Linked DNA regions of Oryctolagus cuniculus. The protein of the gene in region 1 binds, or shares a complex with, the protein of each later gene. Links are inferred from orthologs where the notes say so. Each region holds a gene or a part of one and is shown in the gene's direction. Other genes may lie near its edges. The genes, in order: DDN, WWC1 and MAGI2.

The links.
Region 2: the proteins of DDN (region 1) and WWC1 are in contact, whole or in part, in a crystal structure (PDB 6J69), measured with the Mus musculus proteins. The link is inferred for Oryctolagus cuniculus from reciprocal best matches to the Homo sapiens genes DDN and WWC1. Residues at the interface, in NP_001013763.1 of Mus musculus: Tyr227, Val228, Ala229, Pro230, Pro231, Ser232, Tyr233, His237, Arg238, Thr239; in NP_740749.1 of Mus musculus: Glu13, Glu14, Ala15, Arg16, Asp17, Tyr23, Ile25, Asp26, His27, Arg30, Thr31, Thr32, Ser33, Trp34.
Region 3: the proteins of DDN (region 1) and MAGI2 are in contact, whole or in part, in a crystal structure (PDB 6KKG), measured with the Mus musculus proteins. The link is inferred for Oryctolagus cuniculus from reciprocal best matches to the Homo sapiens genes DDN and MAGI2. Residues at the interface, in NP_001013763.1 of Mus musculus: Asp222, Arg223, Pro224, Pro225, Pro226, Tyr227, Val228, Ala229, Pro230, Pro231, Ser232, Tyr233, His237, Arg238, Thr239, Leu240, Gly241; in NP_001164217.1 of Mus musculus: Glu308, Met309, Ala310, Tyr311, Thr312, Glu313, Gly315, Tyr318, Ile320, Asp321, His322, Lys325, Thr326, Thr327, Ser328, Trp329, Asp358, Tyr361, Tyr364, Val366, Asp367, His368, Arg371, Arg372, Thr373, Gln374, Phe375.

The regions. Positions count from the first base shown.
Region 1 is NC_091442.1:52,458,155-52,468,361, reverse strand, and holds DDN (dendrin), read left to right. Parts: upstream 1-3,852; 5' UTR 3,853-3,883; coding exon 3,884-4,092; intron 4,093-4,462; coding exon 4,463-6,377; 3' UTR 6,378-7,787; downstream 7,788-10,207. UniProt on the Homo sapiens protein: Promotes apoptosis of kidney glomerular podocytes. Podocytes are highly specialized cells essential to the ultrafiltration of blood, resulting in the extraction of urine and the retention of protein.
Region 2 is NC_091437.1:55,260,891-55,270,617, forward strand, and holds part of WWC1 (protein KIBRA), read left to right. Parts: intron 1-843; coding exon 844-952; intron 953-1,389; coding exon 1,390-1,470; intron 1,471-2,141; coding exon 2,142-2,228; intron 2,229-3,307; coding exon 3,308-3,500; intron 3,501-9,727. UniProt on the Homo sapiens protein: Regulator of the Hippo signaling pathway, also known as the Salvador-Warts-Hippo (SWH) pathway.
Region 3 is NC_091434.1:142,749,004-142,758,730, reverse strand, and holds part of MAGI2 (membrane-associated guanylate kinase, WW and PDZ domain-containing protein 2), read left to right. Parts: intron 1-4,604; coding exon 4,605-5,243; intron 5,244-9,727. UniProt on the Homo sapiens protein: Seems to act as a scaffold molecule at synaptic junctions by assembling neurotransmitter receptors and cell adhesion proteins. Plays a role in nerve growth factor (NGF)-induced recruitment of RAPGEF2 to late endosomes and neurite outgrowth.

The DNA.
Region 1 (10,207 bases):
CCGGCCTGTGCCTCCATTCCTGCCCTGACTGCCATAAGGTGGCACAACAGAGCTCTTCATGAAGATACTGTTGTTCATACAGGAGGCAGCGTCCACTTAGTCATGTAAGCGAGGAGGGCCTCGGGGTCCCCGGGCGCGTTCAAGGACATGGGTAGGCTGGAGAGGAGGGCAGGTTGGTTGGCCAAGGTTATTGCTTTTCGTGGCAAATCTAATTAAATGACATGAATCTCTTCCTGGTGTGGTGGTGTTTGATTTTGGTAGTTGGTAAACACTGCTGCTCTGACTTTCCCACTTAGTATGATTATTTCACTCATTGTTAATGACAACACTAACAGCATACACACTAACACACACACACACACACACACACACACACACCTGTGCCAGGTATCACCCACAGTGCTTTATCTGTACACATTGCATATCCCTTATCTGAAATGCTTGGAACCAGAAGTGTTTTGGAGTGTGTGTGTGTGTGTGTGTGTGTGTAGTAATTTGAAGTTTTTGCATAGAAATGAGATATCTTGGAGATGGGACCCAAGTCTAAACACAAAATTCATTTATTTGGGGATTTTGTAACTGATTCACAAACCTGAAGGTAATTTTTTACAGTATTTTTGATAGTTTTGTGCACGGAATGAAGTTTGTGCACTGCGGCTGAAGCCCCTGGGAGGGTCTTTTTTCCTCTTGGGATGCTGGGCAGAAGTGTGTGCCTGCATTTCCACTGTGGCCTGTCATATGAGGTCATCCTGTCAAGCACTCTGTAAATTTTGGGTTTTGGAACATTTTGGACTAGGCATACTCAACTTGCAGGAACTCATTTAATCCTCAGAGCAATAGTAGATACTGTTACTACTCCTGTTTGACAGATTTCTAAAAACTGAGACACGCAGAAGCTGAATACCTAAGCAAGGCTACACAGTTAGAAAAAAGCAAATCTAGGATTTAAACAGGGCCAGCGTTGTGGCATCCCATATGGACACTAGTTCGTGTCCTGGCTGCTCCACTTCCGATCCAGCTCCCTGCAAATGCACCCGAGAAAGCAGAAGGTGGCCTGAGTGCTTGGGCCCCTGCCACCCAACGTGGGAGACCCAGATGAAGCTCCTGGCTCCTGGCTTCAGACTAGCCCAGCTCTGGCTGTTGCAGCCATTTGGAGAGTAAACCAGCGGATGGAAAATCTCTGTATCTATCTGTGTCACTCCCTGTCTCTCTCTCTCTTTTTTCAAATTAATTAAAAAAAAAAAAAAATAAACCCAGTCTGGCTGCAGAGTTCATTGCCTCTCAATTGTCATTTTGCCTTGTTCCCCACCCTGTCCCCTATCATTCCCTTATTATCTTTTCCCTCCACTTGGACCATAGCTGGAACCCAAGGAAAGTCCTCTAACAGTGTTAAGTCTCCAGAGAGTTAAGCATACTGGGGTGGGGGTGGGGGGGTCTCCTTTGGGCAGAGAGGTCTGCCTCCATCATGAGCTTCTCTGAGAGAAGTTGGACAGTGTTGGGATTTCGCTACACTGGTGCTATATTGGAACCCACAAATCTCTTGCCTTGTATCCCAGGCAAGAATGAACTAGGGATGGGGAGAGGGGTGGGAGAATGAGGAGCAGCAGGACCATAGTCACCCGTGAAACCCATTCCCTGTGCTGAACCCACGTGGCCCACGACAGTGGTCAGCGCCAGACTGAAAGACGGCTGGACCACAGGCCGTGAGCCAAACACCCTGATTGCCTTTTTGCTGCTGCATTGTGGATCTGGTACAATTTCCCATCCACACCAGGAACAGTCCCAGGGCAACTCCTTGCCCCCACACCCACTGTGCCTGAGTCTGCTGATGTGACCCAGGGAAAAGCATCAAGGCCCTATCGGCTATGGAGAAGCCCTGTTTGTGTGTTGAAGTCTCCATGGCTGTCACTGCACATTCCCAAGCTTGGGGGAGGGAGGCTTCCAGGTTATTAGAGAATGTTTATGTGTGGGGGAGGGTTACAATGGAAAGGACAGATGTCTCGTGTCACATTCCCTTGGGGAAGAGAATTGGTCTAGGGAGGAGGCAAGGGCTTTAAAAGAGCCTGCAAGTGGGGCCTGGAGTGGAAGGAAGCACTTTCAAGCAAAGCAAAGGCCTCAAAGCAGGTGGCAGGTGCGTGGAATCAAGGGGGGTGGGTGGTGGTGAAGTAGTGGGACAGGATGTTTGGGGTCTCTCCAAAGGTCCATGCTGGGGAGCAGGGTGCCTGGGTTTTGTTGTGTTTCTCAGGGAGTCCACCCTGCCCCACAGCCACCCTTCCAGACTCTTAAAAGGAAGGGTCTGTACCCAAAGGACTCTGTGTGCTTCAGTGGAGAGCACACTGGGCTCTCTCGCTTCCCCTGAAAACCCAACCAGTCAGCCTCACTCAAAGTCTGAGGACAGAGCTGCGTCATGGACGAGGGATGAAATCTGGGTGCATCCCAGGCTTCTGTTCTCAACCTGTTCCTCTCGGGAGAGGCGAACTGTCCCGTCCTCCCGAGGAACCATTGCCACACACATTCTTTCCCCTCCCTGCACCCCTCCTGGAGTTGCTGCCATGGTTGCCAGGCATGGTTGCTAAGTCTGCATGGAAGGGTTGGCGTGGGCTGTGCTGCCACTAACATCACCATGGTGAATCAGGGGACACCTGGTATAGACTTAAGTGGGGGGAGGGACCACGTGGATGCTAGCAATAGCCCCCTAGGACAGAATAAGCCCCCAAGGTGAGCCTTTAGAGTGCTGCTTCTAGTGGGGCTCAGTGAACTGGGCATTGAGGTGGGGGAGGGGGGCTCTGCCTTGGGAAACCAACTGCTTTTAGTTCAGTTGCTAGGGGGTTAGCTTTGCCAAGGGAGCACAAAATTTCTCCTCCATCCCCTCTGAGAGGGTGAAAGTACATGAGCCTATTCTGCATCCCTCTCCCTTAAGGCTGGGCAGAGCTGTGTGAGCACAGAACAGTATAATCCCCAAGTCTTGGCCCCCTGGCTTGGATGGGGGGAGGGCTCCATGGGTGCCCAAGGACAAGTATCTGGAACGGGGGTGGTGGAGCAGCTCGGTTGGCCAAGACAGACTCCCTGCATCCTATTCCTCAGTAGCTCTGGGCTGGCAACACTAAAAAGGTGAGGCATTGAGGGTTGTAGAGGTCACTTTTTTTTTTTTTTTTTGAGACGGGTGGGGGTTGGAGGGAGGCAGCTCTCCCCCAGAGCCACACAAAAGCTTCCTGAAAGCCACCGCCTCCTCTCCACCGCATGGGAGCTGGTTAACTCATCTCATCTCTGCACCCGAATGCCACTGCCGCTAAAAATAGCCCCCCAGCCCTGGGCCAGCCCCTCCTGCACCCCAACCCCATGGAAACCAGCAGAAAGACAGAGGGTGGCAGGCAAGAGACCTTGAGTTCCATTCTCACCATTCCCTGTCAGAGGAATCAAAGTCGGAGGCAGAAAGTCAGGGGGGCAGAAGAACCCTGGTGGTCAGGCACCCCGGATCAGCAGGAGAGAAAAGGGTTAACAAGTCAGGAAGGTTGAGGAAATGGGGGCGGGCGGGCGGAGGAGTGAGGGGACCGACGTTGTCAGTTTGGCAGGAATCTGAAGTCCCTCCCCGCCTACCCACCCGGAGCGGTCCCATCAGGTTTGGGGGCCACGCAGTGGAAAGGGGCATCCAATCCTGGGCCCCAGGCGGCAGTCGTGCACGTGGGGGAGGTAGCAGCGCCGAGTCGTCCGCGCCGTGTCACATGCGCGCGCGCACACACAGACAGGCACACACGTGTGCCCGAGTATATATAGTTCCCAGTCTCTAGGCCCGCCGCTCTGCAGTGGGCGCCGGCTCCCCGGGCTCGGAGGGGGCTCCCGGGGCGGGTGGGAGGGTGGGGGGCCGGGGTGGGGTGGGGGCAGGATGCTGGAGGGTCCGCTCTTCTGCGAGGGGCGCGATAGTCCCCGGGAGCTCCGGCGTGCAGACTCTGGCAGCTGCCTCTGGCTGCAGAGGTCCAAGCTGTTTGTGATGGAAGTGAAGACCATTTCCTGTCATTATAGTCGCCAAGTCCCCTCTCGACAGCCCATGGACCTCCAGGCCAGCCACTGGGCCCGCGGGCCCCGCAGTCGCACGTGAGTGAAGGCGGGGTGAAGGGACGCGAGTTGGTGGGGCGGGGAGCGGGATCCGGACCACCCGAAGGCACCAGCGAGCGCTGTGCGCCTCCCTCCCTAAACTCCACTCCGAGGGCTGGGGCACCGACTCCTCTCGCCTCGTTTGCTGCGGGGGCCAGAGGCGTGAGAAAGGGCAAGGAGGTGAGATGGGGCAGCCGCTGTTAAAATGTGCATGGCGAGATGGCGAGGAGTCCCTTCTGGACGTCAGCCCCGACCTCCACGCACGTACACACGCACGCACACTCGCACAGACCCTTCCCAAGGGGTCTCCCCGAACCTCGGCTCGCTTCCCGCACAAACTGCTCACCTGGCTTCCCGCTCATTGTCCCAGGTGTAGGCCGCGCCCCGGATCCCCCGAGCCGTCGCCCCGCCGGCCCTGGGCTTCCAGGGTGCTGCAGGAAGCCACCAACTGGCGGGCGGGGCCCCCGGCCGAGGTCCGAGCGCGGGAGCAAGAGAAAAGGAAAGCGGCGTCGCAAGAGCGGGAGGCCAAGGAGACCGAGCGAAAGAGGCGCAAGGCTGGCGGGGCCCGACGGAGCCCCCCGGGCCAACCCCGCCCCGAGCCCCGGAACGCCCCTCGGGCCGTCCAGCCTGCGGGCCTCTCGGGTCCCTCAAGGCGGGAGCGCCTGGGGCCGGCGGGCAGAGCGGCCCGCCCGTCTGCTCCACCGCACAGCGAAACAGGGGCGGCGTGGGCGGGGCCCTGGGGGGGTCGGCGGCCAGGACCCCCTAGCTACGAGGCTCACCTGCTACTGAGAGGCGCCGCCGCGACGGCCCCACGACGCCGCTGGGACCGGCCGCCGCCCTACGTGGCTCCACCTTCCTATGAGGGTCCCCATAGGACCTTAGGGACGAAGCGAAGCCCGGAGCGCTCTCAGGCGTCGGCCGCGTCTGCCCCAGCTCCGACCCCGGCCAGGACAGAGGGAGGGAGCGCCAGGAAGAGGCTGGATCCTCGGATTTACCGGGACGTCCTCGGGGCCTGGGGTCTCCGGCAGGGCCGGGGTCTGCTCGGGGGATCTCCAGGCTGCGGAGCTGTCCGAGCAAGGCCGGCGTCTGGCAAAGGCGCCGCAGAGAGAGGGCCCGTCCTGCCTGCCGCCGGCCTGCACGGCGGGAGCGACCGCCGCTTCCAAGCCACCGCCGTGGCTGGGAGCCCGGGCAGCGGGACAGCTCCTGCGAGGCCTGCAGCTGCGCCCTCCAGCCCCCCGCGTCCCGCTCCCAGGTCCAGGCACCAGCTCGAGGGCTCGAGGGAAGGGAAAGAAGGAAGAAGAGAACAGGTGTGGCTCCCCCGGTGTTGGATGCTCTCCCCTAAAAAGCAGCCGTCCCGGCAGAGCCAGACCCTCCCCCGACCCTGGGCTCCCGGAGGCACCGGCTGGAGGGAGTCCCCGGGTCACGGGGACGGGCCAGGCCCCGCGGCCCGCCGAGCCCACACTCTGCCCCGCTGTTCCCGGCGCCCCGCTGGTGGAGAAGGCGTGTTTGTCATCGACGCCACGTGCGTGGTGATAAGGTCCCAGTACGTTCCGACCCCTCGAGCGCAGCAGGTGCAGCTTCTGCCCTCTGAGATGGTGCGTGTTGTGGGGGATGCTCCCAGCCCTCCCAAGCCCGGTCCGCAGCAAGGCGAGGGTGCTTCGGGCTCGCCCTTCCGTGTCCCGAGGCCTCAGCTGGTGAGCCTTTCACACCGGCCGGGCGAGGGGAGTGAGGGTGAGGGTGAGGCCGAGGGCGGGAAGCCGGGCGACTCCTCCTCCCTGGAGGAGCGCGCCTCCCGAATCTTAGGGCTCCCGGTCGGCGAAGTGAACCTGCGGGGCGCCCCCGCGCAGTCAGGCCGCCCCGAGCATCCCGCCTTGGGCCCCGCGGCTCCGGCAGGGGCGGGCTGCGCGCGGGGCTCGGGCGGGGCGGCGGGGCCGCGGCGAGCGGGCGGGGGCTGGGCGCGGGCCCCGGGGCCCTACGCGGGGGCCCTGCGGGAAGCCGTGTCCCGCATCCGCCGCCACACCGCCCCGGACTCGGACTCGGATGAAGCTGAGGAGCTCAGCGCCCACAGCGGCTCCTCTGATGGAAGCGACACGGAAGCCCCGCGCGCCTCCTGGCGGAACGAGATGACCCAGCCTGCGGCTGGGAACCCTGGACCCCAGGAAGGTGGGAAGAGAACCGAGATGAGCGACAGCTTCCGGGAGCTTCTGGGTGCCGTCAGCCAAACCGAGGAGGCCCTCTTCGGGGCGAGGGACCCCGCCGAGACCCCACAGGCAGATAGGGAGTAGCAGAGAAGGTCCCTTTGTGGACTTGAGTCTGCCGACCCATCCTCCCCTTCTTTCCCCGCGGCCGCCTTTTGCCTTTTTTTTTTTTTTTTTCCCTGTGTGCCTCCAACAATGCCGGTTGCCATCCCTGAAATAGACATGCAAGGGAAGGAGCATATGCCCGTTCCCAAGTTTGCTTCTGGAGAAGTGGGGGTGAGGTTCCATGCCTGCTGTGTGCGGGGCGGCGCACACGCACTGGGGGCGCAGTTGAGCAGAGCAGACCTCTGGGCAGCAGGAAGAAAGGGATGGAAAGGGTGGCAGAGGGGCCTGGGGCACAGAAGGGCTCTTGCAGGAAGTGAATGGATTCAACCAGCAAAGCAGAAAAGGGCTTGCGTTGGTGTCGCACGTCTTGGGTTTGTCTGTTCAATCCAACTCTGCCAACTTCCCAGGCCTCCCAGGGTAGGGGGGATGCACAATGAGAAATTTCCAAGGTCTGTCCTCCCATCGCTGACCTTTGGGGACCAAACGAAAGCCTCTATCTCCTCTTCCCATCAACAAGCCAGGAAAGAGGAAAGGATAAGTCACAGTCTGAGGGGTCCCCAGTGGCTGCTTTGTCCCGATACAAGAGATTCTACAGGGTTTGCAGGAGAGCTGAGTAAGTGGCAAAAGGGCTCCTACTCCACTCTCCCAGGTTGAGATGGGGGCTCCCCGAGGCAAGGTAGGACACTGGCCCTGTCACTCCCTGTCACTGCTCCCAGAGGCAGGGACAGCAGCCAGTGAACCAGCTTTGGGCCACCTGTTCCCTCCACCCCAATTTTCCTTGGTAGATCCGAAGTGTTACCACAATGTCCTAGGGCATCCACTCGCCCCCCACCCCCCACGGAAGGAACCCCGAGAATTTACTTGCCTCTCTGCCCTTTGCTGAAAGCAGGGGCAAAGTAGAGCAGCTCAGTTTCCAGGCAACCTGCAGATGTGGGGTGTGCTACTCGCTGCAGCCACGAGGAGGCGCGCGCGGGCCGCGAATTTTCCCGGTTGCGGATCCCGGACACCCCCAGCCCAGCACTGCCAGTTAATCGGGTCCCTAGTTACTGTCCCCTGCCTGGCCACCTCCAGACTGCGGGGCCGGGAGCAGGCCTCCGGCTCCTGTTTGTACTCATCACTCCAACCGGCTGGAGACTCAGACGCTGAGGATTTTTTTTCTCTCCAGTCCTGGAAACCCCGACACCCACCCCCACCTCTGCCATTTACTGGCCTTGTGACCTTGGCCAGGGCATTTCGTCCCCCGGAGCCTCCTTCTCCTCATCTGTCAATGGGGATTTAATAATCACCTACCTCGCAGGGTTGTTGTGAGGATTTAATACGATAATGTATGTAAAGCGCCTTGCTCGGTGCCCGGCACACAGTAGGCGCTCAATAAAGCTAAGCTTCCCTTTCCTTGGCCTCGGCTTGGTCTGTTCCCTGCTGCTTTCCCACCGCCGCTAGGAGAGGGGGGAACTCGTTCTTTGGTGGAAACTCCAGGATCGCCACGGTGTCCCCCAGCCGCGACCCTCCCCGCTCCGCCCCCTGACGGCTCTTCCCGCCGCCCCCCAATTCCTGGCAAGGGCTGAGTCAGCCGGGGTAAATTTAGCCACCGGCTCGGCAGACTCGGCGGGCCGGGTCCGACTCCGGCTCGCTGTGCAGGTCCCCGGCCCCAGCTCGCCAACCACTTCTGGTTGTAGTCTCCAATTAGCTCCACACGGCTGCCCACCCGCCCCAAAGCAGACCTTGCTGCGCCCTAGGGGGGAGAGTGGCGGGGCTCAGAGCTGCCCAGGACAGCTCGTCCTTGACCCGCTTCGAACCCACCGCTGCAGATTTCCAGGGGGCTCCCGCGGAGGGAGCAGAGGAAGTGGGAGCCGCGTATGTAGGATCAGAGGCCACCCCCAAACCCTCCGCCTCACGGCCAGTTCTGACCACCAAGCTTTACTGAGCAGCTACTAGAAACACACAGGCAATGGACCCGAGCCGCCAGGGCTAAGTGTGCGTGCAGGGTCAGACGGGGGAGTGCATGGATTCCAGGAGGAGATGGGGAAGCCCCTGGGTCTCCCAGGAGGTAGCCGCTGAGGTGGAATTTAGTGAAAGGTCATTTCAAGGACAGGAAATGGTCAAAAGCAGAGGCATCGGTACAGGGAAATGTGTCAGAAAATTAAACAGACATATTTGGTCTGTTTGGTCTATCAAGACTCCCTGGGTTGGGGGTGGTGCTGTGGCACAGCGGGTAAAGCCACTGCCTGCAGTGCCGGCATCCCATATGGGCACCGGTTTGAGTCCCGACTGCTCCACTTCTGATCCAGCTCTCTGCTATGGCCTGAGAAAGTAGTGGAAGACAAGTTCTTGGGCCCCTGCACCTACATGGGAGACCTGAAAGAAGCTCCAGGCTCTTGGCTTCAGATGGGCGCAGCTCTGACCATTGTGGCTATTTGGGGAGTGAACCAGTGAATGGAAGACCTCTCTCTCTCTCTCTCTCTCTCTGCCTCTGTAACTCTGCCTTGCAAATAAATAAATAAATCTTAAAAAAAAAAAAAAAAAGATTCCTGCATCCCATATTCCCAATATGGAGTGCCTGGGTTCCATATCTGGCTGCCACTGCTGACTTCAACTTCCTGCCAATGCAGACACTTGGAAGGCAACAGTAATGACTCAAGTGACTGGGTTCCTGTGGGAGACCTGAAGTGAGCACGCAACTTCTACTCCTGCCCAGCTCCAGCCATTGCAGGCACTTGGGGAGCAGCAGATGGGAATTTCTCTCTCCCCCACCCCCTGCCTCTCCAATCAATCAATCAATTTTTAAAATTTCTAGTCTCATCTAACAGCAGTTTTGAGTCCACTTGGAAAGTTAGGGGTGATAAGACGTGGGCCAGAGAAGGCTTTTGGCCTCTGGGTTTGGCAAGAGAATGCACTTTAGACTGGGAGGAAAACTGAGGACCAGGGTAGTGATGAGACATTGCTGGATTTTGCTACAACCAGGACTCTGGGGTTGGTAGAAGTGAGTTGCATTGGCCCTGGGGGTGGGGGTTCGTGCTGCCCAAGCTATTCAAAGATAAGGACACAGGTCAGTTTTTTTCTTTTTAAAATTAATTTATTTGAAAGGCAGAGTTACAGAGAGGCAGAAGCAGAGAGAGAGAGAGGTCTTCCATCTGTGGGTTTACTCCCCAAATGGCCACAATGGCCTGAGCTGGGCTGGTCCAAAGCCAGGAGCCAGGAGCTTCTTCCAGGTCTCCCACGTGGATGCAGGAGCCCAAGGCCATTCGCTACTGCTTTCCTAGGCCATAGCAGAGAGCTGGATCGGAAGTGGAGCAGCCAGGACTCAAACTGGTGCCTGTATGGGATGCCAGCACTGCAGGCAGTCACTTTACCCACTATGCCCAGGCCAGCTTCTGAGAGCTCGCCTTGCTGCTGCCATCCTCAGAGGATTGGGGTAGTGTTGTGTTGGGACAGGGACTCTGGGCCTGTGTACAAATTTGTCTCTGCCTCTTACTAGCTGTGTGACCTTGGGCAAGTTCCTTAACCTCTCTGTCCCTCAGTGCCCTCGGTTATAAAATGGGATTGTTAAAAGTGCTTTTTGGGGCCAAGGTAGGTGACACAGCACGTTAGGCTTCCATATCTGAGTGCTGGTTTAAGTCCTGCCTACTCTGCTTTGGATCTGGCTTCCTGCTAATGGATTTTTGGAGGCAGTGCATGGTGGCTCACGTGACCAATCCCCTGCCATGCACATGGGAGAGTGGATGAGGTTCTGGGCTCCTGGCATCAACTGGCCCAGCCCCATTTGTTGCAGGCATTTGGGGAATGAACCAGAGGATGGAAGGTGTTTCTCTCTC
Region 2 (9,727 bases), on another chromosome or scaffold:
TCCATTTACTGGGGTTGCAGGGGGGTTTCAGAAGTGGTTCCGGCCGGCGCCACGGCTCAACAGGCTAACCCTCCGCCTAGCGGCGCTGGCATACCGGGTTCTAGTCCCGGTCGGGGCGCTGGATTCTGTCCCAGTTGCCCCTCTTCCAGGCCAGCTCTCTGCTATGGCCCGGGAGTGCAGTGGAGGATGGCCCAAGTGCTTGGGCCCTGCACGCGCATGGGAGACCAGGAGAAGCACCTGGCTCCTGCCTTCGGCTCAGCGTGGCCGGCCGCGGTGGCCATTGGAGGGTGAACCAACGGCAAAGGAAGACCTTTCTTTCTGTCTCTCTCTCTCACTGTCCACTCTGCCTGTAAAAAAAAAAAAAAAAAAGAAAAAAAAGTGGTTCCCAAAGCCATCACCGCATTGATGGAAATGATAGTTCTGTAAGGAGAATGGCAGTGAATCAATCCCCTGCACCTGTGTCTGTTGTAAGGGACTTGTGTAATGTCTCAGAAGTCCACCCCAATAGCCCTGTAAAGTAGATGTTAATATCTCCCTTGTATAAATAAGGAAGGTGAGGCTTATGGTATTAAATGACTGTCCTAAAGGAAGAAAAGTAGCAAGTGGTGGGGCCAGGATTTGAATCCAAGCAGATCCAGGCATCTGCGATGCTAAACACAAAATCCTGTGAGACCCCTTCCATGGCCCCCAAAGCAAAGCAGGCTGTGCCGTAGCTTTCAGAGGGGGCTGGAATTTTGTGGGACCATCTTACAACCAGGAGGATCAAACATGGGTGCTGTAAGACACTATTCTGGTTTCTGAACCCCCCTCCCCCTTCTGTTCTTCCTCCCCCGCCCCCTCCAGCTGTGAGTACAACCCAGGGTTGCGGCCTGAAAGTGGCCTGTGTCTCAGCTGCAGTGTCCGACGAGTCCGTGGCTGGCGACAGTGGTGTGTACGAAGCTTCTGCGCAGAGGTAGGTCCCTGAGTGCTGCCTCTCTTGAGTCAGTGGCAATCAGGAACTCCCCGAATGTGCAGATCCCAGGGCCTGTGGGACCATTTGGGCTTCAGCCCCTGTGGGTGTGCAGGAGGGTGTTGCAGCCCTGCTGAGGGCGAAGCCAAAGATGCAGGCAATGTGGCTTCTGGCAGGGGGGATGGGGGCTGGAGATGCTTTTCTCTGAGAGCATACTAGCTCCATAGTAGGCATTAAAAGGTGCATTCTTAGGAGGCCAGCCCTAGAGAAAGGAAATCTTCAAGTGAGGTGTCTAGAGCAAATGGTGTGAAGCCGGGGCCTGCAGACAGGCTGAGCAGACCCCGACTTTGTCAATGGAGGGAATCCCGCTTCCAGACAAGCACTGTGTTCCCAGGTCACTGCTCGGAATCCTGATGCCCCTTCTGCCTGTTGCCTTTCAGACTGGGCACTTCGGAAGCCGCTGCATTTGACAGTGACGAATCGGAGGCAGTGGGCGCCGCGCGGGTTCAGATTGCCCTGAAGTAAGTGACAGGGAAGTTGGGATAGAGGGAGCAGTTCAAGTGCAGCCCCTGGGTGTGCAGCATTGAGCCAGCCCTGACCTTCGCAGCAACCCCAGGGAGGAAGGCAGAGCCTGCAGGGTGCTGCCCATCATGGGCTCCTGATTAAAGGGGTCTCAGCTCTTTCCCCGCCTCCCTGCTCCCCATTTTACAGATGACAAAAATAGGGTCTTGAAAGACCCGAGGGCTCACCCCAACTCATTGAGCTGGCCGGTGTCAACCAGACCAGGCGCCAAGGCCTCCCGCCTCGCAGTGTGTTTGCTCCCTGTTGCTGTGGTTTTTGTCTCCCTGTCCCCATGGAGGTTGCAACACGCTGAACTCAAGGTGACTGTGGAGGGCTGCAGCTCAGACACGGTCAATACCCATGTTGTTCTCTAATTTTCTCTTGCTAGAGGATGTTTTCTCAGTAAGAATTAATTGCTGACATTTTGATGTCAAGAAATTTCACGGCGACGTCTGGCTTCTCTTTAAATACTGAGATGAGTGACAGCTCTGGACCTCCAACCCTGCATGGCAGCTAAGCTCTGAGCCTATTCTGCTTGGAGCAGCCAGCAGCCCCCTCTTCTGATTGTTAAGAGAAAGGGTTGGAGAAGTGTCTTCCTAATGGGTGCTGCTTATGCCCATTTTCATTTCAGGTATGATGAGAAGAATAAGCAGTTTGCAATATTCATCATCCAGCTGAGTAACCTCTCTGCTTTGATGCTGCAGCTAGACCAGAAAGTGTGAGTATGTGACCCGACAGGTCTATATGATCCTCTCAGCCTCCAAACTCCAGATTCAACCATGGGTATTTAATGCACATGACCTTGATGCAAAATTGCAGCTCTGTTTACGTGGATACAGGCATAAGGGCCCCACAGAGAGTTTCTGTACATACTGAGCACCTGCCAGTACTGGCTCTAGGCGTTGGAGCCCTGAGCAAATCCTTCATGGACCCTGCCCTCCTGGACTTGAGCCTCAGGAAGAAGAAGGAATGGTCACAGTCAGGTAGATCTCTGAGCTCAAGTGTTGCACCTAGAAAGGAGTGAGTCCTGGCTTCTCAAGGGTCAGCGCCAGTTCCTGTGCTCCCCGTGCCAGGGTATGGCTGGGATTACCGACAGGCTGATCAGCCAACAGACACCTGCACCATCTGCGTGTTGGCTCTCCCGTTGTAGACGAGGTTTGCATCTGATGGCACGCGTCTGCCTACTTGCTTCTCCTGTAACGGGACCATCCTAGGCCATAAGGGCAGCCACGGGAGCTCCTGCTTCTCTGGTCTGTACCCAGCCAGCGTCTGGGGGAGAGGAATGGCAGGGAAAGGAAAGCAGACAAAACAGAAGGAGGACGAGACTGGATGCTCGGGGGTCTTCAGTCCTCTGCAGGTGTCGGCAGTGCCGGGGTGAACATCCTTCTCCTGGTCTGTCTCACTGGTCCTTGTCCACGGTATCAGGGGGACAGTGCCTAGAAGAGAGGGCCAGCACAGCTATAGTTTTCTTGGGCTTATCGAATTCCCCTGCACAAGGAAGGTTTTGTTGCATTTGCCTCTTGGGGTAGGAGGGGCAGATTCCCCGGTGTCAGCAAGCACTGGCTGCTGCTGGCCTCGGGCTCCGGTTGTATGGAGCGGGGGATTCAGGGACAGGAAGGGCGTGCATGCCCCTCAGCGGCATATCCTGCATCGCTCACAAGTACCCGTGTAGCAACTTGAGAAATTTGCACATTCACAGCCACTGTGAATCTTGGAGATTCAGCGGCTATTTCACCCAACACAGTAGCCCCAGACCTGTGCTGACCCAAGCTCTCCTGCCACCCTGTCTCCCTGTAGGAACGTTCGCGTGGTTATCCTTCCTTGCTCCGAAAGCACCACCTGCCTGTTCCGGACGCCGCCCCTGGACGCCTCGGACACCCTGGTGTTCAACGAGGTATTCTGGGTGTCCATGTCCTACCCAGCCCTACACCAGAAGACCTTAAGAGTCGACGTCTGTACCACGGACAGGAGCCATCTAGAGGAGTGCCTGGTGAGAGCGTATCTCCGTCTGTCCCTCTGTCTTTCTAGCCTTCTAGCCTTCTGGGGATTGGTCCACCCCAGGCTGCAGAGAGAAGGCGAGAAGGAGGCCCAGGTCGAATCACCGGTCAAGTTCGTTGGCTTCTAGACAGAGATACTTTTCCTCATAAGAGGAAGAGTAGTGGGCCTGAGAGAAATGCAGGAGATGCCAGCCACAGACCACAGCTTACCTGTGCAGCATTAAGGATGAGACAAGAAACACTGAATAATGAGAACAAGCAGTTCTTCTTGCTATATAGCTGGGTGGCCTTGGGCAGTGGACTTAACATCTCTGGTGCTCTGTTTTTTCATCCATAAAATGCCCTAGTGATGCCCACTAGGGAAGTTGTTACTTGGATCCAGGGAGTCAGTACAGGAAAAGCACCTGCTGCCATGCCTGACACACAGAAGGCTCTCGTGCAGCGGGGCCCTTACTGGTCCACTCCCTGGAACAGAGCTCATGTGGCTTCCTCCCACCCACTGCACTAGCAGGAGTCAGGATCGGATATGAAGGAGCCTGGGGTCTGTGTGTGTCCTGTCCTTAGGGACCAGCAGCCACATGTACAGGTGGATGTTGGTCAGCCACCTCGTAGATGAAAGGGGGATTTATGTTAAACTCAGGGGCTTGTGACATACAAATCAAAGAAGTGAAGTCTTTGTTAGCCCTGGTGCCATTCTAGAGGATAGAGTATTTTGTTTATTTATTTATTGGTTTTGTTTTTTAAGTTTGAGAGGCTGACAGATGGAGAGAGCCAAAATAAAGCCAGCTCCCATCTAGTGGGTCACTCTCCAATGCCCAGAACAGCTAGGACCTGGATGGGCTGAAGCCAGGAGCCAGGAACTCAACCTCAGTCTCCCATGTGGGTCGCAGGAACCCAACTACTTGAGCTGTCACTGCTGTCCCCTGGGGCGCACATTAGCAGGAAGCTGGAGTCAGGAGGCAGAGCTGGGAATCAAACCTAAATACCTTTTAACTTGCCTTTTAACCACTAGACTGCATGCCTACCCTGAGACAATTTTGATGATAACTCGTGGACTCTGAGCTAAGTGCTTTAGTGTGCTGGCTCACTTCAACCTTACAAAACAGGTCATGTGTACCAGAGGGGAAACTGAGGCACACAGTGGCAAAAGACCTTCCCTGTAGTCACACAGTCAGAGAGTGGCAGGAGCCTTATTGGACTCCAGGCGGGTCCATCTCTGCTCAGGATTTCCTGGAGAGCGTCGGTGGGAGTGGAAGTGTGATGTCCAGGGTCAGGCCAGCGTGGTGGGCATTTCGGTTACAGCAGAAAGCTTTTCCACACCCAGGCGCCTCCAGTGGAGCATTTGCTCAGCCCTGGGCATTCCTAAATCCGAGGAGACTCGTGCTATTTTCTCCTCCTAATTGGATGCCTTTTATTCCTCCTTCCTAATTGAAGTCTGGCCATTGCTGGTTGCCATGGCAGCAGCCAAAGCGCTCATCTCCCTGTGGCTTGTCTCTGTCCGGGGCCAATCGGAGCTCTCCCTTTCCGTATGCCATGGGGACGTGGAGTGTCAGGCTGTCATGTTTTGGTGGTGAGAGGAAGTGAGACGGGAGGAGACAGGGATTGTCTTCTGCCACCCAGAGCCTCCCTGCCTTGTGCGTCTGCTGGGAGCCCTGTGGTCAGCCAGGCAGCAGCAGTCCCCTCACTGGGCGGCGTCTGGGTGTCTGCCCTTGGCCAGGAACTCTGTGTGCAGTATCTCAGTGCATCCTCATGGTAGCTCTGAGAGGAAGTAGTGGGGTGACCTCCCTCTGCCAAAGGCTGATTTACTTCTGCAGATCCTCCAGCAAGTCGATGGAGAAGCCAGGGTTTGTAGCTTCCTTGTGTGTAGCCACTGCACTTTCCTACCTCTTGGGGTTGCTCTGAGTGACTCTCATATCCCCTGACCCAGATCAAGGTTTTGGGGGAACATGAGGCCCGCCTTCCCTGCCTGTTGCAAGTACAGAGTATGCTCACTGTGGCTTCACAGGAGTCCTGGTTGCCCCCTGTGCACCTGCTAAGCTTTGCCACACAGCTCATGCTCTGCCCGGGCGGACCCACTGCCAGGTCTGGTTTACATTGTGATGGTTCCCCTGGCCCATCTCACATGGCCACGCTCACTGGGCCGTGTCCCAGCCCTTTCCTTCCTTTCCATCTGACGAGTGGGAACAAATGCTCACAACCCAGCTGTATGTATTGTGCTGTCTCCGTCCGTGCTGTCTACTTTCTGTAACTATAACTGAGCATCGCAGTCTGAGTCATTTGTAAAAACTAAAGGTTTATTCTGCTCACAGTTGTGCAGGCAGGGAAGTTCAAGATCAGGTAACTACACTGAGTGAGGGCTTCTCTGCTGGTAAAGACTCTGCGGAGTCCCAAGGTGACACAGTGCATCCCACAGCAGACAGAAGGTCCCGGCTGGGTCTCTCCTCCTCTTTGGATAAAGCCACAGTCCTGTTGCCTTAGGGTCCCATCCCTATGGCCTCATTTAATCTTACCACCTCCAGAGGGTCCCACCTCCAAGTACGATACTCTGCTTAAGTCTCTGTTCTCTTAGCATCTCCTAGGAGTGATGGAATTTCAGCCTGAGTTTGGTGGGAACACGCACACTGTGGCAGGCAGTGTTGGAAATTGTGATCTCTTCCTGCCCAGGGGGCCTCAGTGCTGCTCGGCAGTTAGCCTGTGTCTTCTGGAACCCTTCTCTCTCCCCCTGGTTACAAGGGCTAATGCGTGGTCTTCTCTGCCGGGGGAGAATGGAGAAGTGAGAGGAGAGCTCCCACTCACCCAGCCGTCCTGCTCCTCTCTGCTGTTTCTCTGGCTTCTAAGCTGCACTCTCCAGACAGCCCCTCTGCCACTCCGAAGGACATCGTTCCTGCAGTCGCCTTGCCCCCTCCTCTGCCTTCAGGGCAGAGCCCTTCTCCCCGGGTCCTAGCCTGTCCGCATCCCAGCATGCCATACCTTCTCTCATGCTGAAACAGAACAAAATGAAGATTTAACCCCATTTCCACTGCTAGCATAGCAGAACCTTGAAAGAGGTCTTTACCTTCTCCTATAACCCGACCCAGGTGGGCGTCTGCCCTTGTGACTGTACCCAGGTGGGCATCACAGGCAGCAGTGACCTGCTTGTCACCAAATCCAGTAGCCGCTTCTTCATCCTCACCCTTCCCGACCTGTCAGGTGCACCTGACTCAGGTGCTCGCTCCAGCTTCCTGATGTCCTTTGTCCTCAGTGACTTCCCTGACTCCATGGCCTCCTAGTGTTCTTCCCACATCCCTGGCTTCCGTCTCCTGAGCCGATTCTTCCCCCTTCCCATGGTCCCTCTGTATGCCCAGGGCTCAGTCTCGCTCCTCTCTCCCTCTCATTCTGATTCCTCGGTCATCTCCTCTCTCCTGGCTTCCAGCACTATCCCATGTGTGTGGCTAGAGTCTGAGCTTCTCTTATTTCTCTGCTCACGTTCCCATTGCCTGTCCTGCGTCTTTCTTTTCATGTCTAATACGAATCTCAAAGCAGGATGACCACACGAGCATCCGACCCTTCCTCCCGCGTGTCACTGTCTGCAGGCGGCAGTCATAGTCTTCCAGTACTCAGACCAGAGACCGTGGCATCACCCTGATGGCTTTCTCACCCCCTTCCCTGATCCTGTTAGCTCCACCTGCAGGACATCTGAGATCCCGGCCGCTGCTCCCCCGAGGAAGCGTCCCCGAGCCGAGCCACGCTGCTGTCATCACGGCGCTGCGATTATTGTGGCCGTTGTCTTCTCCAACTGTCCTTTTCTTCCTTCCTCCCTTCCTGTAGCCACAGTGATCCTATTCAGATGGAAATCCACGCAGGCCAATGGCTCTGTTGAAACTGGGATGTAGACTGGCATTGTGGTGCAGAGGGTAAAGCCAGTGCCTGCGATGCTGGCATCCCAAATGGGAGCTCCAGTTTGGGACCCGGCTGCTCTGCTTTTGACCCAGCTCTCCCTGATAATGTGCCTGGGAAGGCAGGGGAAGATGACCCAAGTACCTGGGTCCCTGCCACCCACGTGGGAGACCCAAGTGGAGTTCAGGCTCCTGGCTTTGGCCTGGCTCAGCCCTGGCCATTGCAGCCATCTAGGGAATGAACCAGCAGATGGAAACATCTTTGTTTTTTCCTCTCTCTCCCTCTCTCTGTCACTCTGCCTTTCAAATAAATGAATCTTTTTAAAAAATAAAAATGGAGGGAAGGACAAAGGGAATATCATTATATTCTTACGATTGTATCTACAGTTCACATTGAATCTGTTAAAAACTAAAAATCAAAATGATAATAAAATGGGAATGTGACTTACAAAAAAAACGAAGTAAAAAGTAAAGGCCTTAGGACGGCTTCTGTCTCTACCCGAAGTCAACACCCGGCTCTTCGACATGGCCCCTGGGGCCCTGTGGGACTTGGCTTCTCCTTACCTTTGGATTTCATCCCCAAGCCACCTCCGCCAGCTCCCATCTCCCTGCAGGCTCCCATCCAGGCTTTCCCATGTGCGGTGCCCTCGGCCTGGGATGCTCTTCTCCCGGATGTGCACAGGCGAGACTTCAGACTTGCTGCTCATCCCCACCTGCTCTTTGCTCTGCTGTCACCGTCTCGGTGAAGTCTTGCTGCGCCCTCTGTGAAACCCGTTCCCCGCCCCACTCTCATCTCTTCTGCTTTGTCCCTGTGTTTTTTCTCTGTCGCATATTTCATCCCAGCTCATAGATGTTATGGTACACAAGGGGTTTCACAGATTCCATGAAAAGTGCATTTTATCAAAAAACAGCATGCGTTTCATCCCCCCCCCCCCCCCCCCCAAGATGAGCTTGTCTTTTTGATTCTGTTTTCCACAGCGCTCTTGAAGCACCCTTGTGTTTCGGTATTTTCTCACCTCGGAAATCACACATATTGTAGATGGCAGGTTATGGTTTAATGAGCAACAGCTTTTCTTTCTTTCAAACAAATATGCTTAATAATCGCTGGCCTCTTAATTTCACGAGAAGCAGTTTAGTTTACTTATTCACTTATTTATCTTAGTCTCCCCCGCTCACAAGTCAGGTCACGAGGCATCTGCTTCAGATCCTGCGGTATCCCCAGCAGGCAGTCAGGCCTGGCACCTGGCGGCTGCTTGGGAAATGTGTGTTCATTGAATAAATGAGTGAGTGGGCATGCAAGTGCACCCGGTGTGTGACGGTAGAGGACATGCTCATCCCCCCAAGGCAGCCCCACGTGGAACATGCAGCCTCCTGGAGTTAGTAATCGTGAGATGGTGTCGTGCCTCCGAGGTGTGACCCTTGTCCCTCCCTCTCGCAGCTCAGACACAGCCCGTCACGTCCCGAGTCATGTGGTCCGTCTCCCCAGGCCTCCGAGAGCCAGTTAGGGGAGGAGTCTTGCTAGACCGGAGTCTACGGGACTCGGGGAATTGTTTTGAATGAACACATGAGTGATATCTCTGTTGGTTTGCTCCATGCTGCCCTCCCAGCAGGTACCTTTCACCTCCTCAGACTTAGCACTGCCTGTGCCATGCCCCCAGTACATCCTAGTACAAGGGAAAAGTGCAGGGCTCCCAGAGGGACCCAGGAGCCCCTTTCTTGTCGTAGGGGCCGTCCTGAGTCACTGCTTGGCGACAGGCCTGATTTGCAAACTGGTGTTTGGTGTTCGGCCACCCACCGGCACAACCATTGGTGCCGGGGGAGAAGGAGAGGAGGAGGTGGGTGAGCTGAATCCCACAGCCATCGGGGCTCTTCCGGAGAGGGCTTGTTGGAGCAGTAAAGCCTCTGCAGGACAGTTGAAATTCTTTTGTTAATTGTGTCTTCTGAGAACGTGCAGTAAAGGTATTAAGTCGCTTGAAATAATCCCCGTCTCTGTGAGATTATATACTCTGTTAGGTTTATTTGTTACTTCTTGTTTTTGACTTGACTGGATGCATTTATATAGCTGGAAGAATAAATGACTGGAAAGGTTTAATGAGGAGAAATCCAGTTCTTGTCTCCTATCCCCATCCAGCCTGACCCCACCACCTGTTCTACCTAGGTGATCACTTTGATTTGTTTCTTCTTTATCATTATTATTTCTTGTTACAGTTACAGTCATGTCCATGCCCCTTTGCACCTGAAGCAGGGTACACTAAAGATATAGTTAGGGAAAAAATTACGTGTATATTCTTATCCCTCTCTGTTTCTTGTATGAAAAGCGGCTTGCTCTCCCTGCTGCTCTGCGC
Region 3 (9,727 bases), on another chromosome or scaffold:
TCACTCGCTTGCCTGATAACTTGAAAAATTGCTCTGGGTGGAAAATATCCATAAATTTTAAAAGGCAGTCTCCCTAAGAGCCACACATAGTTCGCATTCCATTTCTAAATAGCAAGATCACATTAAAACTCAAAAATAGATAACATTAGTCACAGTAATTCAAATAACTACTCCTTAGGCCTAGCAGGGAACCTTGAGAGCTTTGAGCATTACTCTTGGCTCTTTCTTTTTCTTTTTCTTTTTCTTTCTTTTTTTTTTTTTTTCTCGATTAGATTCTGGCAGGGCAGAAGGAAGAATAAAGTATGCTTGGAGATGGGGGTGGGGAGTGGAGTTGATAACAGTGATTAAAGTTAGGGAGAACCTCAGGAAATTTGTGACCGTCCTGCCTTCTACTTGCCCACTTAAAAACCCTTCATTCTATAGTCATACTCAAGCCATTTTTGATTATAGCTGCGGTGGGAATGGGTATCTTGATGGGACTGTGTCAATTTTATGGAAGGATGGAAGCAAGGACAAATAATAACTGCTGGAATAACAATCATCCTGCACATCACAATTTGCAGCTTACAAACGCTGCTAACCATATGATCTCAGTTGTTATTTCCCAAAGGACAAAGGTTACTAATATTATTGTCCTTCAGCCGGCGCTGCGGCTCACATAGCTAATCCTCCGCCTGCGGCGCCAGCACCACGGGTTCTAGTCCCGGTTGGGGTGCCAGATTCTGTCCCGGTTGCTTCTCTTCCAGTCCAGCTCTCTGCTGTGGGCTGGGAAGGCAGTGGAGGATGGCCAAAGTGCTTGGGCCCTGCACCTGCATGGGAGACCAGGAGGAAGCACCTGACTCAGGCTTCAGATCGGCGCAGCGCCGGCCATAGCAACCATTTGGGGGGTGAATCAATGGAAAGGAAGACCTTTCTCTCTGTCTCTCTCTCTCCCACTGTCTAACTCTGCCTGTCAAAAAAAATATATTATTGTCCCTCATTACTTCTTTTTTCAAAAGATTTATTTATTTATTTATTTGAAAGTCAATGTTAGAGAGAGGAGATGCAGAGAGAGAGAGAGAGAGGTCTTCCATCCATTGGTTCACTCCCCAATTGGCCTCAATGGCCAGAGCTGCACCAATCCAAAGCCAGGAACCAGGAGCTTCTTCCGGGTCTCCCATGTGGGTACAGGGGCCCAAGGACTTGGGCCATCTTCTACTCCTTTCCCAGGCCACAGCAGAGAGCTGGATCAGAAGTGGAGCAGCCAGGCCTTGAACTGGTGCCCATCTGGGATGCTGGCACTGCAGGCGGAGGCTTCACCCCCTATGCCACAGCGCTGCCCCCTTCCCCATGACTTCTAATAAATGTGAATCCCAGAGGATTTAAGGTGGTTCTGAATAATCACACAGCTAGTCTGTGATAGAGCTTTAACTCAGACCACAGTTTTTTTACTTCCTATGATCTCTACCTTACCGTGCAGCCTTTCAAACCTTCAGGGAACATTGGATCAAGAATGAACGTGGGCATGAAACTTAGTCAGTATGCGAGGGAAAAAAAAGACTCTTTGGATAGGAAAAGTGGAGAAATGAGATGTAGCCTAGCGGAAACCCAAATGGCCAATAAGCATATGGAAAGATGCTCACTCTCCTTAGCATTCTGAGAAAAGCAAATTAAAGTCATAATCACACCCAATAGATGTGCAAAATTTAGGTCTGAGAATACCAAGCATTGTGTCAAATTGGGAACAGCGAAAGTTCTGGAACACCACCAGTGAAAATGGAAATGCCATGACAGTTTGTAGGTCATGTGTCATTATCTAAAAAAGAGGTACATGGCCTGTGCCCAGCAATTCTGTGCCAAGATACATACTTCAGAAAAATTCTCCCCTTTGTGCACAAGAGCCATGGAAGGAGTTGTCTTTAATAACCAAAAATTTGTAAGAGTCCTCATATTCATTAACAGAAGAATGAATAAATGTTATTATATATGAATGTAACCATCCAATAAATCACATACTTCATGAAAATCAATGAACTTATGGTACAAACATCAAAATAGAGCATTACCACAAATATATTTTGAGGGAAATTACAGAATACTAAAATGGAGGACATTTATAAAATGTTTAAAAATGCAAAACATTTTTCAAGGATTATTAATATTCTGATATTAAATACTATTTAGAGATGCAATTTCATGGGAACCTAAAAGATAAAGTACTGGTAAATAGAAACGTCAAATGCAGGACAATGGTGACCTTGTAAATGACAAAGTGGGAATACAAGTAGGGGGAGTTGTGTTAACCAAGGCAGTTTCAAAAACTAGGAGCAGTGGTGTAAGCATTAGTTCAGATGGTGGTATATAGGGATTGACTAATCTTACAACCTTTGAAGTGTCTGAAATATGTCGTGATAAAGTAGAAGAATTAGAACAAAAAGAGTCTACATGAATACGACACTTCTCTGGGACTCTAGGAATAACAGAATTGATTAAAAATGAGTCCAGGCCGGTGCTGCGGCTCACTAGGCTAATCCTCCGCCTTGCGGCGCCGGCACACCGGGTTCTAGTCCCGGTTGGGGCGCCGGATTCTGTCCCGGTTGCCCCTCTTCCAGGCCAGCTCTCTGCTGTGGCCAGGGAGTGCAGTGAAGGATGGCTCAAGTCCTTGGGCCCTGCACCCCATGGGAGACCAGGATAAGTACCTGGCTCCTGCCATCGGATCAACACGGTGCGCTGGCTGCAGCACGCCGGCCGCGGCGGCCATTGGAGAGTGAACCAACGGCAAAGGAAGACCTTTCTCTCTGCCTCTCTCTCTCACTGTGCACTCTACCTGTCAAAAAAAAAAAAAAAAAAAAGAGTCCAAAGCATCCCCAGCTGCCCCAGGTTGATGGAGAATCCTAATCTCAGAGAGGGTTTGCCCATTCCAACTCAGTTTTGAGTCCTGGCCCAATGGCCCAGCCATCGCACCAGCACCCTGTCTGATAAACATAATGGAGGGGTGAAGTTTCATCTGACCAGTCACATGGGCTGTCACATTTTCTGGAGGCAGACATAACCTGGATCCCAGGAAAGGCTTGATTGTCTTTTCTGGCCATTCCTTTACCACTTTCAAACAGGTCTCTTGCATTTGGAAAGAGGGATTGTTAAGCCAGTGCCATTAAGGACACCTTACTTAGGACCGTTTTATGCATATATTTATTTTTTTTACAGGCAGAGTTAGACAGTGAGAGAGAGAGAGACAGAGAGAAAGGTCTTCCTTCCGTTGATTTACCCCCCAAGTGGTTGCTATGGCCGGTGTGCTGCGGTCGCTGCACTGTGCCGATCCGAAGCCAGGAGCCAGGTGCTTCCTCCTGGTCTCCCATGCGGGTACAGGGCCCAAGCACTTGAGCCATCCTCCACTGCCCTCCCGGGCCACAGCAGAGAGCTGTTTTTAAGTGCCTTAAGTGGAGAAATTATTTCATAGCCTATACCTACAACTACAACAACAACAAAAAGCCAGCAATATGTTTAACTCTCAGAGTTCATCTCTGCTTTTTCATTTTTGGTGTTTGCAATCTTGATGGGCAAGTCCAAGAATGAAATTCCCAGCCATTTGCACTATCCATTGCAGAATTATCCTGGTCAGTTGGTGTCTCTTGAGCCACTCCTTTGACAACCTGTGAAAGCATGTCTTTACATTCCTCGTAGGTGCCTCAGCAAGGACAAGCACAATCACAATTTGCAAATTCAATTTTCAAGCACTGTGGTTTGTGAGGATAAAAATACCAATCCATGATAGAACAGTTCTCCAAAAATAAAAGTTATTCAGACATAATTGAAATTTTTAAAAACAATTATCTCAGACAACCACATCTTTTTGCATTTTAAGGAGGAAAATTTGTTATTCTGAATATCTTGTATGATGAATAATTTGCACTCAAAGCATTTCTAATAGCATAAAGCCACCTTCTAGCCAGCAGAACCTTGCAAACAATCCGTTGGGAGAGGACGAATGCCCTCACTGAAAATAATCAGAGAAACAGAAGCTTCCCTACGCTCAGAGGATGACCTGATGGCAGCTTCCTATTTGAAATCCAGGGTCTCAAATCTCCTCCATCCTGTTTTCCCAACAATGTTAATAATAGCCTCCATTCATTGAGCAGTCACCATGGGTCAGGCACTTTGCCGAAGCACTTTTCCTGCATTATTTCATGTCCTCCTCATTAACAACTTCATAAATAATGAAGTGTCATACCAGAAACCCCATGTACCAGGTCTTGCGTTTTCATCCAAAACCCATAACTACGTCTCAACAATTTTAAATTTCTACTGACTTGCATTGGAGATGGAAGTAAAGATGAAGAAGCAGCATGGGTAGTGTGCTTCTCAATATGAAGTCGTTTCTGAACTTCAAGAATAACCAGATAATCGCTTTTTTTTTTCAGTGTTTGATCATTATATTTGTTGGCAGACCTGGTGTCTCCTTGAATCACCTACAGTGAATCTAAGTATTATTCTAATTGATTTTCTCACTGCTTACTGAGAAATAGAGCACCTCTTTCACTAGTCTCATAAATAATTCCATTTCTCTATGTCAACGTTAATTGAACTTACCTCATGTTGTCAATCTCTTTCTCTTTCCCTTGCAGGTGATGTCATTGTCTATATTAACGAAGTTTGTGTCCTTGGGCACACTCATGCGGATGTTGTCAAACTTTTCCAGTCTGTTCCTATTGGTCAGAGTGTCAACCTGGTGTTGTGTCGTGGCTACCCTTTGCCCTTTGACCCTGAGGATCCTGCTAACAGCTTGGTGCCACCCCTTGCAATAATGGAGAGGCCACCTCCAGTGATGGTCAATGGAAGACATAACTATGAAACATATTTGGAATACATTTCTCGGACCTCACAGTCAGTTCCAGATATAACAGATCGGCCGCCTCAATCTTTGCACTCCATGCCAGCTGACGGTCAGCTAGATGGCACGTATCCACCACCCGTCCATGATGACAATGTGTCTATGGCTTCGTCTGGGGCCACCCAAGCTGAACTTATGACCTTAACCATTGTGAAAGGTGCCCAGGGCTTTGGCTTCACTATTGCTGACAGTCCTACAGGACAGCGGGTGAAACAAATACTGGACATTCAGGGATGCCCTGGACTGTGTGAAGGCGACCTCATTGTCGAGATCAACCAGCAGAATGTACAGAACCTGAGCCATACAGAAGTAGTGGATATACTGAAGGACTGCCCCGTTGGAAGCGAGACTTCCTTGATCATCCATCGAGGAGGTAAGAAACATTGGCCCAGCAATTAAATATATAGACAAAATAGTAGGATCCTTTACCATAATTCTGTTAAAATGGAGGTCTTTTGGGAGTGGAATTAAATCAGACTTTTGAAAATAAAGGTAAAGTAATAAGAAAGAAAAACGTGAGTACAGGAAGCTGTTCTGAATTTTGAGAATATGTCTCTTCCTGTTTTACATTACATATAATAATGACAGTGCTTTCAGTCATAGAAACATGATGGTATGACTTGGAGAGTAACAGCTGAATTCCCCAACTAAGAATGTGTTCTGTTTCAAAAGTGTGCTTTGGGGTGGGCATTTAGCCTAGAAGTTAAGATACCTGTGTCCCATATCCAAATACCTGAGTTCAATTCCTGGTTCTGGTTATTGACCAGCTACCGGCCAGTGCAGATCCTGGGAGGCAGCAGGTGATGGCTCAAGTAGCTGGATTCCTGTCACCCATGTGGAAGACCTGGAATGTGTTTCCAACTCCTGGCTTCAGCCGGCCCAATTCCTCTTTGAGTAATGAATCAATAGATGGGAATTCTTCCTCTCTCTCTGTCATAAAAAAATTAATTAATTAATGTATCAGTTCTGAAGAACTCAAACTGATTCACTCCTATTTTTTAAAACAAAGATTTATTTTATTTTTTTGAAAGACAGAGTTACAGAGAGAGGTAAAGCCAGAGAGAGAGAAGTCTTCCATTCCATTGGTTTGCTCCCCAAATGACCAATAGCAATGGCCAGAGCTGAGCTGATTCGAAGCCAGGAGCTTCTTCTGGGTCTCCCATGCCGGTGCAGGGGCCCAAGAACTTGGGCCATCTTCTACTGATTTCCCAGGCCATAGTAGAGAGCTGGATCTGAAGCAGAGCAGCCAGACTGCAACCGGCACCCATATGGGGTACTGGCACTGCAGGCTGGGGCTTTAACCTGCTGCTCCACAGTGCTAGCCCTTGGTTCACTATTGATTTCACTAAGAAACCTGCTGTGTTTTGAGTTGTACTTAGAATTCCAGGCTAGCAGGTGGAAACTGGTTCAACCTCTGCAACCTTAGTACAGTCCTTATAATGCCCATGGCGCACTGGGAGCTGTGCAGCTGTATAAATGCCATCTCGGAGTTCTGAGTAGAATTCTCCAGAATGAATTTTCTGCTGCTTCAGCAGTAGTTACCTAAGGTGTCTCCCATGACCTGGGAAGAAAGTCACTTAATGGGGTCAGAGCCGGGCCTAGTGTTCTGGATTGAAGTATGGCAATGGAGACCATGAGACAGGGGGAGAAGCCCTGAGCCTTGGGTCTTTCTTTCTCTGTGCCATCTCTATGGGAAGAGAATGGTGCACAGCAGAGAGTCCTCTTCCCCACTGCTCTGCGCTTGAATCTCAGTGAAACTAGGGAGAGGGAGGAGGGAAGGAACCATGACGAAAAGGATGCTCCAAAACAGAGTGTAAAGGAAAAGGTGCGAGCTAAGTCCTGGTTTTCCCACTCGGTCATTTGGAGACAGGACAGGTCCTGGAGCCTCAGCCTTCTTATCTGTGGCTCTGGGATATTAACACTACCTAACTGTGGTGGTGTTTGTGGTATTGAGTGGCCCAGATCAGGGTTTCACTGAATTTCTGTGGAGCTGAAGTGAACACAGAAGCCACGGCCAGGACAGGTCAAAAGGAGCAGTGCTGGGAGGAACTCGTGCATGAGGAACACGAGGCAAACCCATGTGATTGCCTATTCAGAGCCCTCAAAGCAGCATGAGAGTCCTCTCGGTGTGAAATGGAAGTGAAAACAGTCAAAGCTGAAAGAAGCGCCATTCCTGGTATATTTGTTTCTTTTTAGGTGTGTTTCCCTCTTAAGGAACTATTACATTATTGATTCCTTGCTTGAAAAGGGACCCAAAAAAGCAGGCATTTGTAAGCAGCATATACAAAGTATTATGTTCCTATATTAAAAAGGGAAATTAATATGATGGCAAAGCAATCTTAAATTTGACCTTCTCGAGTCATTGTTACAAAAGAGCACTTGAACTGCAATAATTAAATGTTGGCAGATTTCCTTAATTTCTGCCATCATTTGTTTAAGATTAAAAACAAATATTCCTAATTAAATAGTCATATGTTCATAATACCAATTGAAAATCAAATCTTGGGGACAGATTCTTGCTTTTAAAAGGTACAACTGAAAATCACTGCAGTAATATCCACTGTATGATTTGTAGAAACAAATTTGGACACATTTTTATATATAATGGCTTCTTTTTAAAAGCATAGCCTAGCAGGGTAATGTACTGTGAGATCCTTCATTTGTATTATTACAATTTGTGCATTTCTGAAAATGTTGAATGCACACCTGCTCTCAGCTAGACTACCCTGTTCTCATTCACTTGCTCTCTGGTCCTCTCTCTCTTTTGCTCTCATTTAAACATCAAGTAAGCAAAGTTTTGTTTGCATTTTATTTGTGTTTTGGAATGAGGGACTTGCTTTTACTTTTTGACTAGTGTAGAATGCAGAATGTAGCACCCTGTGATGCTTAAGGAACTTCTTGTCAAAAGCTTCTTGAGTTTCCCAAATTCCTACAATTTGCACTCTTCTGTCTGAAATTAATAGGAACTAGTGCTATGTTTTTGTGATGAGATTCACTTTGATTATCTTACTTTAGACAACTCAGAAGTGCTTATGACTTCATTCAGATAAGCCTAGATCTTCAAGAGCAGAATCACAGACTTGAGTGCTTAGATCAGGACCACGGTTGTTTTAAATTATTTATGAGGATTTTTTATTTACAAAGTAATAATGTTCATCATTTCTTCTTTAAAGCAAATGATGTCAGAGTCTACAATGAAAAATAATCCTCTGTCCTATCTCCTAGTTTCAGTCTTTCCAGAGGCAAGCATGTTTTGTGTTTATATTCCAGGAAGTTTCTAGTCTGCAAACACGTACAATATGATTATATTAATTAATTTATGAATATATTTATTAATGAATTTATGAATATACCTATGAAAAGTAGTAGATTTAATGTAGATAAGATGATATTATACATACACATACCTTTCTTTAAAATATCTTAGCTATTAAGGTGAATTTAATTTTTTCAAAAAATATCATGTGGCATAAGTTACATGCCATGAAATTAATCAGTTGTAAGTAGATAACTCATTAAGTTTTGTTACAGTGATCCAATTCTGTTTCGCTCACCAGATTCCTTAGAACAATCTGATCTCTCCTAGATCTAGCCCCAGCTACCCACTAATCTGCCTTCTTAATAGTTTTGCTTTCCTAGAATTTTTTCAATGAATGGAACTATACAAGGTGTAGTATTTTACCTAGCATATTGCTATTGAGAGTTAGCCAGCAGGTGCTAGGATGGGGTAGCTTGTTTTCTTTTATTCTGTTGTATGGACTTTTTTTGGTCACCATTGGATGGACATTTGAATTATTGCCAGTTTGGAGCATTTAGGAGTCACATTGGTGTGACTATCTGGATACAAGTGTCTATGTGTGCCTATGATTTCATTTTTCTTGGGTAGATTATTTATTTAAACTGTTAAGAAATTGTCAGAATGTTTCCCGAAATGACTATACCATTACCATGTTTTGAATTGTACTTAGAATCCCTAGCAGCAAAGCATAAGGTTTCCAATTTCTCCCCATTGTTTCTCACACTTAATATAATCAGTCTTTTTTATTAAAGTCATGCTAGTGAGTGTGCCATGACACCTGTTTATGGTTTTAATTTACATTTCCTTAATATTTTCATGTGTTTCCCTATTTTATTGTTTACTGTCATTCAGATTTTTTCTTTGGTAACATGTCTTCATTCAGATATTTTGCTTATTTGTATATTGGGCTGCTTTTCTTTTTTTTAAGATTTTATTTTATTTATTTGAGAAGTAGAGTTACAGACAGAGAGGAGAGGGACAGAGACAAAGGTCTTCCATCCACTGGTTCACTCCTTAAATGGCTTTAATGACTGAAGCTGAAAATACGTGAAGCTAGGAGCCAGGAGCTTCTTCCCAGTCTCTCACGTGGATGCAGGGGCCCAAACACTTGGGCCATCTTCCACTGCTTTCCCAGGCCATAGTAGAGAGCTGGAGTGGAAAAGGAGAAGCTGGTACACAAACCGGCAAAAATATGGAATGCTGGCACCACAGGTGGAGGCTTAGCCTACTACACTACAGCGCCAGCCCCCTGCTTTTCTTCTTATTAAGAATTCTTTATAGATTCAGAGTATGAATCATTTATATATTCTCCTGGTCTGTAACTTGTCTTTTCATTTTCTGAATGATGCCTTTCAAAGCACAATGTATATGATTTTGATTGAGTCCGACTTATCAGTTTTCTTATACAGATCATTCTTTTGGTGTTATATTTAAGAAATCTTTTCTAACTCAAGGTTACAAGAGTTTTTCTCTTTTTTTAACTTTTATTTAATAAATATAAATTTCCAAAGTACAGCTTTTGGATTACAATGGCTTCTCCCACCCCATAGCTTCCCTCC